Linked DNA regions of Lepisosteus oculatus. The protein of the gene in region 2 interacts with the protein of the main gene of each other region in a biochemical or structural test. Links are inferred from orthologs where the notes say so. Each region holds a gene or a part of one and is shown on either strand. Other genes may lie near its edges.

The links. The genes of interacting proteins can lie anywhere in the genome.
Region 1: the proteins of histone H4 (region 2) and l3mbtl2 interact in a test that uses a peptide from one of them, tested with the Homo sapiens proteins (2 studies listed by BioGRID). The link is inferred for Lepisosteus oculatus from reciprocal best matches to the Homo sapiens genes H4C1 and L3MBTL2.

The regions. Positions count from the first base shown.
Region 1 is NC_090707.1:38,079,971-38,087,445, forward strand, and holds the start of l3mbtl2 (lethal(3)malignant brain tumor-like protein 2), read left to right. Parts: upstream 1-4,454; 5' UTR 4,455-4,551; coding exon 4,552-4,664; intron 4,665-5,010; coding exon 5,011-5,154; intron 5,155-5,603; coding exon 5,604-5,797; intron 5,798-6,379; coding exon 6,380-6,486; intron 6,487-7,475. Other genes in the region: st13 (hsc70-interacting protein), read left to right, coding at 1-105; E3 ubiquitin-protein ligase RBX1, read right to left, coding at 1,769-1,781, 2,571-2,656, 3,069-3,139, 3,582-3,660, 4,312-4,389. UniProt on the Homo sapiens protein: Putative Polycomb group (PcG) protein. PcG proteins maintain the transcriptionally repressive state of genes, probably via a modification of chromatin, rendering it heritably changed in its expressibility.
Region 2 is NC_090718.1:2,208,664-2,214,395, reverse strand, and holds histone H4, read right to left. Parts: upstream 1,279-5,732; 5' UTR 1,213-1,278; coding exon 901-1,212; 3' UTR 511-900; downstream 1-510. Other genes in the region: histone H3, read right to left, coding at 2,182-2,592; uncharacterized protein, read right to left, coding at 3,348-3,730; histone H1-like, read right to left, coding at 4,799-5,440. UniProt on the Homo sapiens protein: Core component of nucleosome. Nucleosomes wrap and compact DNA into chromatin, limiting DNA accessibility to the cellular machineries which require DNA as a template.

The DNA of each region.
Region 1 (7,475 bases), on a different chromosome or scaffold from region 2:
GATGTGGCTCAGAACCCAGCCAACATCTCCAAGTACCAGAGCAATCCCAAGATCATGGCCCTCATCACTAAACTGTCTGCCAAGTTTGGGGGGGCTCAGCCCTAAAGCTGGGGGTGGGGGTATAGGGTGGAAGTGGGTGTTGGGGGGGGCAGGGCAGGTGAGGATTAGTGAATGACAGAAAGCACACTGTGCGCAGCTGTGGCTGTTGGGGTGGAGGGGGCGATCTGCCCTGCCAGGACACCTTTCTCTCTACGCAAGGCCCTGATGAAGTCTGTATCCAGAACCTCAAAGAGCTGGGAGCATCCCACCTGCCCCCTTCTCCTTCAGGGGAGGATGTTAAAACGGGGGGGCTATCAAGAACTGCAGAAGTCCAACTAAGGGCAGGTTTTGCCAATACCTGAAGCACCCACTCAGGAGATAAGATCCAGAGGCAACTAGCACTGTCCAGGGCACCCCAGGGAATATTTAACTGCCCCCTTAGTGGGCGATGTTTGTTGGTGTATCCAGGTGTGCAAACCCAAGGTTTAACTTGCAGCTTTCCTATTTACTTCTCTACTTCAAGATTTTTTTTTTAATTGTTAAAGCAAAGGACAGCTCTCTGAAATGGAGAAGAGCACTAAATATCTAGCTTTTGTGTTGGGAATTAAATGAATTAAATCAAATCTAAAAAAAAATAAAGACATGAAAATGTTTTTTCTGGAGTCATTTGGAGTGTTTTTTTGTGTAACCTTGATCTTCAGGAGCTTTTAAATCATCAGCCCATACTACGGCAGGGGCTGTGTTCAGTTCACACAACTGACTAGACAGCCCTGCTGCAGACACACTGACTGACCCCCCAGGACCAGGACTGGGGCAGAGGCAACTGGTCACATGACCCAAGCTCCACCCCACAGTATCAGTCACACGGCCTCAGAACACACAGCTATGGGGGGGGGGGGGGGGGCGATATGCAAATCCATTTAAGCAAAAGAAAAGTGGTACAGCACTATCTTTGTTTCCTATTTAGCTCACACAATGTATATATTGGACAGCAGGTTAAACCCCACTGGTGTAGAAAGAGGTTCACCTGGCTCCAGGGCAGTGGAAGTGCAGCAGACTAGTTGCACTCTCAGTTAGATTTCACCCACGATCACAGCATTCCTGCATCACAGAACGCACTTTTACATCTCCCATTGTTCCTACTTTGCCCTCTCCCTCAATCCTGGTCCTGGTGACCCCCACACCTGCTCGGTTCCATTCCACCCCCCCAAATTAGACAATCAAAGCCCGTCTTCTTTGGAATATTTGCATTGTGGTTGTAGTCACAAGTTTGGGGTTTAATTTCACGTTAAACAAACACGCCGGTTAGAGCTTGACCGCATTGATGAGCCGCGAACAAACAGTTCAGGATACGGCAACAAAGCCTCTGACTGGGTCTGGAAGAAGAACGGGCAGGTGTGTGGGTCACCAGAACCAGCACCGGGAACCACTGCTCCACCCATCCAAAAAAAAAAAAACAGACAACAGGAAGCCTCCTTACATTGAACACAGAGGTTTATTTATAATTTACAAACGGACCGTGAACGTGTTTTTTTTAAAAAAAAAACTCAGACTATTTCATGCCAGCTCATGGGGAGACGCAGTCGAGAGAGAGAGTGCACCCCACACAACAGCTGGGGCCAGGCCCGGGGCCAGTGCCCGCGTGCAGAGGGGAGGAGAGGAGGAGGAGGGAGGGGCTGTACGCCAGCGACCTGTAGCGTAGCCACTGCCCAGTCCACTGTCCTTCACCCTAGTGTCCGTACCTGCAAGGGCAAGGAAAGCACAAATCAATCATTACACCAGGTAACAGCACCACCCACCCACCCACCCGCCCGCCCTGCCAGAGGGAACAGGATATTGCACACCAGACGATCCCGATTCCAGCACACAGGTGCACACACGCTACACACCTCTCGTCCTGGCAGACACGGACTGCACACCTGCTCTACAAACTGCGCGCCCCGCAAGCGTACAGCTCGCCTTTACCAGAACGCGATTCGCGAGACGCGAATGAATATTAATCAGCTCTTGGTTCGATCGCAGTGCCGCAGGAGAGCGTGCTACCTCGAATAATCAATAACCGTTAGACCGAGCTCGGTCCCGTCTCTGGGAGCACTGTGACTGGACAAACAGCTCATCAACATTCCACAATTCATCCCGAGTGTTGCTCTTCACGCCCAGGCTAGCCAGGAAGGGCGTTCATTCACAAAACAGACCTCCTCTATATATACACACCCCCCCCCCCCAGCCTAAAAACTCCATCCTGGTGCCAAAGCATATTTTAAACTATTTTAGTATGAGCAGGAAGGAGAGAGCCCTGTTCTGTTCTTTGTGTGTTCTGGACTGTGAGTAACTCTTCTTGGTGCCCTTCTCACTGTACTGATTGTACTGTATTATTATTATTGTATCATTCGTTACACTGTTTCTGTGTTAAGCTGCTGTTGCACTGCAGTTTCCCTCACGGGATCAATAAAGTATCTGTCTATCCAGGCAGGGATGCCCGGCAGGGGATCCTGTCTATCCTGGCAGGACACTCCAGGGGAGCTACTCACTTCTGGAACTCCCACTCCCGGTTGTCCAGGGGGCAGACCTGTCGCGTCTTCAGCCAGCGCGAGATGCAGTGGAAGTGGAAGGCGTGCTGCGGGAGAGCAAGGGGAGAGGAGGGGCGGTCAGCTTGGGGGTCTTTCCGAGAGGTCGGTCGAGCAGGGGGGGGGGGAGGGGGGCTCAGGTTCCAGATACCGGGGGCAGCTCTGGCTCCTGTTTCCACTCATCTCCACACCCCCCTTTCCAGACAGGGGGGTTCAGACAAGCGGCACGGATTACAGGAGGGGGGCGGGGCGTTTGCGGGTTCGCCCCCACGCCCGTAGGGGAACCCCCCTCGCGGCTACTCTGTTCGTTCACACGGCGCCAGTGCCACCCGTGTGCCCCTCTGAGGGGCTAGACAGGGCGAAAACCGGCTGTCTGGGAGAGCCCAGCGTGGCGGTGGCGTCTGTGCGGATGAGGCCCAGAGGAGGTCGAGGGAGGGAGGGAGGGAGAGCGCTCAGTCTTACATTGCAGACGCCCCAGGCCACAGTGCACTCCTCAGACGTAGCAGAAGCCTGGTTGGCCTGACATTCAATACCTGCAGAGAGAGAGAGAGAGAAAAACACAGCAGCGTGTTACCCTGTGAGCTTCAGAGGCACCTTAGGACTGGCACCTGAGTAAGACACCAGCGTCTGGATCTCATGTCTGTACACTCATACTGTGTCAGTGCATCAGTACAGTATAATTCATGTCTGTACACTCATACTGTGTCAGTGCATCAGTACAGTATAATTCATGTCTGTACACTCATACTGTGACAGTGCATTCACACAGCTCTGGGCTGTCAGTGTATTGGAGTCAGTATAATTAGTCTCAACACTCTAACCATGCCTGTACAGTCACACAGCTCTGCGCTGTCAGTGCATCAGTGTCAGAACAGTATAATTCATGTCTGTGCACTCTTACTGTGTCCTTGCATTCACACAGCTCTGCGCTGTCAGTGTTTTGCAGTCAGTACAGTAGAACTCCCATTTACTCACACAGGTCCATGATGTGGTTCCTGCAGATGGCACAGTTGTCCACCACGATATCCCAGGCCCACAGCGCTACTGCATTCCACTAGCAGCGGGGGGAAAGACAGAACACTTCACTTACTGACAGTGCATGCACCAACCTGGCTGACCCTGACCGGCCACCCGCTCGAGATGTGTCCACCCGCTCGTGTTCTCTGCCTGCATGTTGTTATTGCGACATTCGTGAGTCTCGCCCGGCCTCACATCGGGAGGGCCGAGTAATCCGGCAGAGCGGCGCTACTGGGCGCTGTTGTTGTTGTTGTTGTTGTTATTATTCATTAATTAATTATTATTTATTAAAAGGGGCATCTGGTGCTGTAAACCGTGTCCGAGGTGCTGAAAAGTGTATTGCTTTTTTCCCTCCCGACCAGCTTTGTCGGCGCTTGAGAAAAGAAACAGCTTCGTCATTCAAAAAAAGCGAGGAGAACTGAACCGGCTGAAACACGAATACACACTTGTTATTCTCAAAAAGCAGGCGCCCGACAAAAATAGTTTAAGCTGGCGCCCTCAGAAAAGCCTACGGAAATAAATCCGTAAGCCCATTAGCCATCGTTAGCTAACCACGCAAAAACACCGCAAAGCGTCCAGTATTACTCCCCAAACACCTGTATGTTACAACCGATTAACAACAGTCATCAACTTAATCTCTCTCCGTCCCTCCGTCCTTAATTTTTCCTCCTCGAATTACTCAAAGTACCTTTTTCACTTCGAAACGCTTCTTGCTGGCTCCGCTGTTGGTCCCGCTCGGGGCGTCCACATCCATCGCTGCCGCCATCTTGTCTCTGGGAACCCTGGCTCTTGAGCGCCTGCGCTGGCCGTCGCTTCCGGCGGCGAGCTGTGACATCACGGTCCCCATAACAACAGGGCCTGCGGTTCCACACGAAGCCTGACTTTGTACCTGCAGCCTGCCGGCCCGCCGCAGAAGGACGCGTTTGCGATGGTCCAGTGTTTTGCCCCCGACTGCAACCATCACAGCGAAAGAGAAACCTGCAAATTCTTCCGTTTCCCCAAGGATCTGAGGCAGTTCCGAGTTTGGCAAGAGCGATGCAGGTTGGCACGCCGTTTTGCGGGATAAACAGTTAAAAAGTGACATATGGCAGGTGTCTTCGTTTCACCAGTATGCCTCTGAAAAACCTGCAGCCTGTTTTGCGTCAGAGTATCGAGCTATTGAGTGACAGACCAAACCCCTGCCTGTTTTGACAGAAGGCTTTAGGTTGTCTGGTTGTAGTTTCTGTGAGCTTCTCTAAACGTGAAATGTGTCGTTCAGGAACAATAGGATGGCGATTCTTTGCCTTACAAGTCCTGTTCCTGTCCTGTCCCCCCACAAACACACAGAGAGGCCCTCTAGAGGCACCTGAACTGAGGGTCAGGCCAACCAGCCGGTCTTTTCTTCCAGGCGGCAGGACAAAGACCCGAGCGTCTTCTCCAGGCTCTGCAGCTGCCACTTCGCGGAGGGGAAGAAGGACAGGGGCCCGTCCATCTTCAAGACCCGGGCCACCGGCCCGCGGGCCTGGACGCCGCAGAAGAAGAGGAGGAACCGGTAAGCATCCTGCGAGAGGCAGGAGGGGGTGGCGTTCTCCCAGGGAGCCAGGCAGGACCATGGGGCACCGGATCTGGCCAGGACACTGGGGTTACACTCCTGCTCTTGTCGAGAGACGCCCTGGGATTTTTAATGACCACAGAGAGTCAGGACCTCAGTTTTATGTCTCATCCAAAGGACGGTGCCTTTTTACAGTATAGTGTCCCCGTCACTATACTGGGGCATCAGGACCCACACAGACCGCAGGGTGAGCGCCCCCTGCTGGCCCCACTCACACCTCTCCCAGCAGCAGCCTCAATTGACCCCAGGAGTCTCCCCTCCAGGTACTGGCCAGGCTCACCCTGCTGGGCTCCAGTGGGGCTGCCGGCTGGGAGCTGCAGGGTGGTGGAGCTGCTGGCCGTATCACTAGTGGGATAAAAGTGAAGAGGATTCCATTCTCCCGCCTGCAGGGCCCCCGGTGCTGAGCCTGCAGGGCCTGTGGTGCCGCTGGACGCGCCCAAGCAGCCCGAGCCTCTGCTGTTCCAGCCGGCGTCCCCTCTTGGCCCGGAAGGCGGCGCTCCGGGTCCCACTGGCGAAGAGGGTGGCGGGGAAGAGGAGCCCGGAGTCCCAGGAGGGGTCCTGCATCTGTCCCCTCCCTCCCGAGGTGAGGTCAGGGCCCGGGGAGATCGGGGGCGACATGAGGACAGTCACAGAGGAGAAGAGGCCGTAACTGATGGCTCTACTTTTTCAGTAACTAACAGATCTGTCTGCCATAAATAACCGGACACCTCTTGGCAAAAGCCAGGGTATCAAAACCATGGCAGGGAAGCTTGTTCCCCACTCCCGCCCTTTGCGTAAAGTAGCCCCCCCGTCCCGATTAGAGGATCGAATCCAACCGTTTTGGGGAATTAACTGTGCTTCACACCTTAACTTTTACCATAAATTGTCCACAATTTTAAACTTAAGGCCTGTGTTTTTGCTTTTATTGCAACAGTTTGATTGGAATTTGCTACAGTAATGTAAGCTTGAGCATTGAGCCTTCTCGTTATTAATTTTTTTACAGCGTGTAAGAACATGTGGGCTGTGTTCCTGCTAGTGACTTGCCGGTTCTGGTGAATCACAGATGCCGACTGTTTATTGCTCAGTTTATTCATCCATTCGGGACGTGTTAGACTGGGCCTGAACCCAGGGTGTCGGTCAGCACACGGGATGCGATGGAAGCCGCTGTGCCTTGTGTTCTCCGCAGCTCCAGCGCCGCCCAGCTGGCTGCCGGCTGCAGCAGACGGCTCCGCGTCGCAGGCGAGTGTGGAGAGGCATGTGGGCTCCCCTCAGGACCCCATCGCAGAGCTGCAGGTAGGTGATACTGCTGCTGTTACTGTCACTGATACTACTGTTACTGCTACTAATACTTCCACTGACACTGCCCCTGCTGTCACTAATACTACCACTGATACTACTGTTACTGCTACTAATACTACCACTGACACTGCCCCTGCTGGCACTGATACTACCACTGACACTGCCCCTGCTGTCACTGATACTACTGTTACTGCTACTAATACTACCACTGACACTGCCCCTGCTGGCACTGATACTACCACTGATACTACTGTTACTGCTACTAATACTACCACTGACACTGCCCCTGCTGGCACTGATACTACCACTGATACTACTGTTACTGCTACTAATACTACCACTGACACTGCCCCTGCTGGCACTGATACTACCACTGATACTACTGTTACTGCTACTAATACTACCACTGACACTGCCCCTGCTGGCACTGATACTACCACTGATACTACTGTTACTGCTACTAATACTACCACTGACACTGCCCCTGCTGTCACTGATACTACCACTGATACTACTGTTACTGCTACTAATACTACCACTGACACTGCCCCTGCTGTCACTGATACTACCACTGATACTACTGTTACTGCTACTAATACTACCACTGACACTGCCCCTGCTGTCACTGATACTACCACTGATACTACTGTTACTGCTACTAATACTACCACTGACACTGCCCCTGCTGTCACTGATACTACCACTGATACTACTGTTACTGCTACTAATACTACCACTGACACTGCCCCTGCTGGCACTGATACTACCACTGATACTACTGTTACTGCTACTAATACTACCACTGACACTGCCCCTGCTGTCACTGATACTACCACTGATACTACTGTTACTGCTACTAATACTACCACTGACACTGCCCCTGCTGTCACTGATACTACCACTGATACTACTGTTAATGTTACTTATACTACCACTGACACGACTACTATTACCACTATTATTTTTTTCTTGAAAAAAAAAGT
Region 2 (5,732 bases):
TTGTCTCGACCTCTCGCCGAGTCTGAGCGAACAAAGAGCTGAGCAGCTTCCTGTCGGGGCGGGGAGGGTTAGAAACGGCCCGATATCACAAGTTCTTTCTTAAAAAGACAAACCCAGCATGAAGAATAAAAAACATTTAGAAGTTGAACCCCATTCTGTAATAGCAATTTACTACTACGTGCACATTTTCTGAAATCCGACTCTCATTACGCTTATGTCTCCTACCCTAGAAAACTGTGCTCGGCGTAAACCGTGCGATTTGTGCAAACTTGGAGTCAAAAGCACAGTTTTTGTGATATTCTAGACAACTTTAAAAGCACTTTGGAACAACCAACAGCATTTTATCACACACTTTTGAGCTTCAGCATTGGTTTCAAATTAGTCTGAGCACAATAAAACTAAACACTGAACCTTTCTACAAAATAGCATGTAGGAGACTAGCTTTTGGCGAATGAAGTGGATTTCAAGCCAAGCTGAGCCGCTTCCTGTCGGGGCGGGGAGGGTTAGAAACGGCCCGATGGGATAACGGCTCTTTCTTAAAAGCCATGAAGCATGCGTGAAAAATAAAAATATTAAGGAAGTGAGCTTCATTCTTTACTCATGACCTAATTAGAATTAGTAGTAATGAGAATAAGAACTACCACTCCATCAAAACGCTTTCAGCAATAACCTATTTCATTAGCAACCTGATCTACACTAATGTAACGATTGATAAGCTCTGCATCTCAATTTAGGAATCATCACAGCAATCGCAAAATGTTGCTTGCTTGTTTGGTTAAAAAAAAACACCAAAAGTGATAGTTTAGATTTCAGCTCTACTTTGATAATGTGGGTGGCTCTTAAAAGAGCCTTTGGGTTGATACGTCGGGGTCCAGTCCGGCAGTGAAGCTCCGCTCCTGTTTAGCCGCCGAAGCCGTACAGGGTGCGGCCCTGGCGCTTCAGCGCGTACACCACGTCCATGGCGGTGACGGTCTTCCTCTTGGCGTGCTCGGTGTAGGTGACGGCGTCGCGGATGACGTTCTCCAGGAACACCTTCAGCACCCCGCGGGTTTCCTCGTAGATCAGCCCGGAGATCCGCTTCACTCCCCCACGGCGAGCCAGGCGGCGGATGGCGGGCTTGGTGATTCCCTGGATGTTGTCGCGGAGAACCTTGCGGTGACGCTTAGCGCCTCCTTTCCCGAGTCCCTTTCCGCCTTTGCCTCTTCCAGACATCTTCTAGTTATCAGTTAGTGACACGACACACACTGCTGGGCTGCAGCCGCGGCGCTTCTCTTTTCAAGCCTGAGAGCGGACCTGCTTGAGACAGGAGGCGCGCTGACACACGAGCCCGCCTCTTCTCCGACTGCAGCAGCAGCCCAGACTGCACAGGAACCTCTTCCCTGCCGGAGAGCTCTCCACCACAGCAACTTTAAACAGGCTACACTTCGAAATTGTCATGATTACTTCCCTAACCAACGGCATTGTAGGATTGTGCAAATTCTCCCCACGTGGTTTGAATGCTTGAACCTGGACTCGAGAAAAGCCCAGTCTTATCGAGCGCTAGCAATACAGGATAATCGGTGCTGCAGCACGTTTTTGACTTACAGGATAAAACTGTAGAGCAAAAGAAACCTAAACCCATACCATACCGACAGCATTAAGAAATGTGTCAATACCGAACCCACGTATCTAGGAAGAACGATATCAAATTCAGAATCCATTGCACATGTGAGGTGCTCTTTTCTGAACCAAAACGCCCCATACGGAACAGAAAATACAACATACTACGGTGTATGGATTATGAACTGTACTAAGACTTTAATCACTGTAGGAATAAATCCGTAATTCGTGTTTAAGCACCTTCTAAACCGAGGTGCTTGAATGCCGGAAAGAAGAATCTTCTCTAGGGGGGGGCATTAATTGCATTTGAACACTTTCAAATGTGGATATGAATGCTGAAAAACGAATTTAGAGCAAAAGGGGAGACGTGTGTCGCTGGTGTACTGCAGCAGTGCAGGGGGGCTTTTACACGAGTTGGTAGAAAACCGCTTCCCGGTAGGGATTTCACTTATCAGCTAACCAAACGAGAATTGTGCCTCGTACAGACTATAATGGAATAATATAACCCTCTCGAGTATTGTGGCGGCTCTTAAAAGAGCCTTTGTGTTCAAGGGAAAAGATGCTGCAGCAGGCGGTCCGTGTCTAAGCGCGCTCCCCGCGGATGCGGCGGGCCAGCTGGATGTCTTTGGGCATGATGGTCACCCTCTTGGCGTGGATGGCGCACAGGTTGGTGTCCTCGAAGAGCCCCACCAGGTAAGCCTCGCTGGCCTCCTGCAGAGCCATGACGGCGGAGCTCTGGAAGCGCAGGTCGGTCTTGAAGTCCTGGGCGATCTCTCTCACCAGGCGCTGGAAGGGCAGCTTGCGGATCAGCAGCTCGGTGGACTTCTGGTAGCGGCGGATCTCCCGCAGAGCCACGGTGCCGGGCCTGTAGCGGTGGGGCTTCTTCACGCCGCCGGTGGCGGGGGCGCTCTTTCGGGCAGCCTTGGTGGCCAGCTGCTTCCTGGGCGCCTTGCCGCCGGTGGACTTGCGAGCGGTCTGCTTGGTTCTCGCCATCTTCCTCGCTGCTCTTCACAGTCAACAGTGTACTGAGAACCACTTCCCGCACTCGGGTTTATATGCGCAGACAGCCCCGTCCTGATTGGTTGAAAGGCACAGGGGGGAGGAGGGTGTAACTCTGATTGGACGGTTTGAAACCGAGCGCGCAGCTCCTACACTCCTCGCGGGTTTAACGGCTCCAGGTCTCTCGGTTTAATAAGAGACACAGAAAGATCGATTTTCCTTCATTTATAAACTAAAAGCAAGTTCAGGCGTTTTAATACCTTGATACCTATAAAGTGGCAAGGATTTTGATGACTGTTTTAGCTATACTATAGGACAAGAATAGTGACATAGTATAATACTACTATAATAACGTTAACTAATATAATTTCTAGTGTAAAAAGTGTGACTCGGGAGGAGAGCGTTGTGCTGAGGGACAAGACCACTTGAAAGACTAATATAATAATAATACGAATTTTATTAATCCAATTACAAGTACAATAAGGAATACCTCTTTGGTTTGTAATTAAAAGGTTAAAAACGAAGCGAATATAGAAATGTTATGAACTGTATTGCGAGCGCAACAAACCGCTCTTCCATACAGCAGATTCTGGATCACGTTGCTTCACCACTGAAATATGTTAGTAAAACCGTGTAAACGCTGAAGTTACACAAGTAAACAAAACTCGCTCTTTTCAAGAGGCTGTGGGTGGCTCTTAAAAGAGCCTTTGTGTTCGGGGTCAGTCGGAGGTCTCTGCCGCGCTGTTTACTTGCTCTTGGCCGGCTTCTCGGTCTTCTTGGGCAGCAGCACCGCCTGGATGTTGGGCAGCACGCCGCCCTGCGCGATGGTCACGCCGCCCAGCAGCTTGTTCAGCTCCTCGTCGTTGCGGACGGCCAGCTGCAGGTGCCGGGGGATGATGCGGGTCTTCTTGTTGTCCCGGGCGGCGTTGCCAGCCAGCTCCAGGATCTCGGCGGTCAGGTACTCCAGCACCGCGGCCAGATACACCGGGGCTCCGGCGCCGACCCGCTCGGCATAGTTTCCCTTGCGCAGCAGCCGGTGGACACGGCCCACAGGGAACTGCAATCCGGCCCTGGAAGAGCGAGTCTTGGCCTTGGCTCTGGCCTTACCGCCGGTCTTTCCTCTGCCGCTCATCTAGTACTATCTAGCTTGTCCGAAGAAGTCTGACAATACTGGTCACAAACTGTCTGCCACCCCGCTTTTGAAGACTCGCGGCTGAATTTGATTGGATGGACCGGAACAAGCTCTCCACCCAATCAGAGATCAGTGTTGCCAATCAGCGCTCTCGGTCTCCACCAATCAACAGGCAGGAGGGAAATTCGGACTCTGAACACAGAGCGCGGCTCTGCTGCCGAGCGAGGACAAATATGTGTTTTTCAATTTCAAGCTTATTATCGTTATTCTCATACACAGGTATATGTAATTGTGAAATGCTATTTAGCTAGCTCTCAGACGTTAAGTGGTAAAAAAACAACAATAAAGTTGCATAAGAAACAGAGACAACAGGCCATGTGCAGAACAACAGGCGAATAGCAAAACTACAACAGTTCATGTGCAAAACACTTCGCTTAAACGGTCATTTTTTATGCTTTACAAAATGTATATTTTAGTGAATTTCACCACCGTCTGACTCAGTAACCACGCTACCTTGAGTGGAATTAAGCTCCACTCCCATAAGAATCTGGATCACCCGCCTCCGAGGGCTCGATATTGAAAAGTCACCATTGTCGCTATTAGAGTGATACATCTGTCACGTTACGTCTTTTCACATGCCCGCTATAGCTGCGAGACTAGCAGTCACACACTAATGAAAACCTCCGTGCCATGTAACAGTGTAACATTTCACCTCAACTAAATTCATTAAATGAAGAGATGCAAGGAGTCACAACGCTGTTCAATGGAGATCAGAACGTTTAACAAAAAAGCCTTTTAATTCTACACCTCCTCTGCGCACCCACTCTCTACAATAGTATTTAGAATATTTACATTTGTACATTTTACCCAGCATCGCATTTCAGTATCATTTTGAAAAACTACAACCCAGTCCCTCTCCTTGTGTAAAATAATTATGTCTCCCCCCCTATAGAGCGAACCGGCGCTTTCAAGCGGTGAAAAGGGAAAGTCTGCGCTCTCTCTCGGAAGGGCTGGTGGCTCTTAGAAGAGCCTTTGGGTTTGTAGGAAATTAACTCGAGGGTCGATCGCTCACTTCTTCTTGGGAGCCGCTTTCTTAGCTTTGGCCGTCTTGGGTTTGGCCACCTTGGGCTTCGCTGCCTTGGCTTTCTTCGGGCTCTTTGCCTTCTTAGGCGCCGCTGGCTTCTTGGCCTTCTTGGGGCTCTTGGTCGCCTTCTTGGCCGCTGCGGGCTTCGCGGCTTTCTTGGGCGACTTCTTGGCGGCCGCTGGCTTCTTGGTCGCCGCCTTCTTGGGCGACTTCTTGGCGGCCGCTGGCTTCTTAGCCGCTGCGGGTTTCTTGGCCGCCGGCTTCTTGGCTTTGGCGGCGGCGGCGGCTTTCTTCACGGGCTTGGGCTTGGTCTCCGCCTGCTTCTTGTTGAGCTTGAAGGAGCCCGAGGCGCCGGTGCCCTTGGTCTGCACCAGGGTGCCCTTGGTCACCAGGCTCTTGATGGCCAGCTTGACGCGGGAGTTGTTCTTCTCCACGTCGTAGCCGCCGGCCGCCAGGGACTTCTTCAGGGCGGCCAGGGACACGCCGCTCCGCTCCTTGGAGGCGGACACGGCCTGCAGGATGAGCTCTCCCACGCTGGGGCCCGCTTTCTTGGGCTTGGCGGCGCTCTTCTTCTTGGGCGCCTTGGCCGGCGCGGCGGCGGGGGCCGGAGCGACTTCTTCTGCCATCGCTGCGTCTCTGTCTGCTGTCGGACTGTCTGCGGCTCCGCGCGCAGGCGGAACTTCAAGGCCGCATGAGAACCGTGGAGACTCAACCGCTGCTGCTGCTGCAGCTCCGCTCCGCACAGCCCGCTCGCACTTGTGTTTTCTCCCCGCACAAAACTGCCCCGTGATCCTCACAGATACACCGAATCGATTATCAAATACATGAAGTACGAAGAAAACCCCCTGCTCTTTAATATGCAGTTGAGTTACAGATTTTTCTGTACGATCATTTTGACAGAATTGCCCAGAGTCCAAC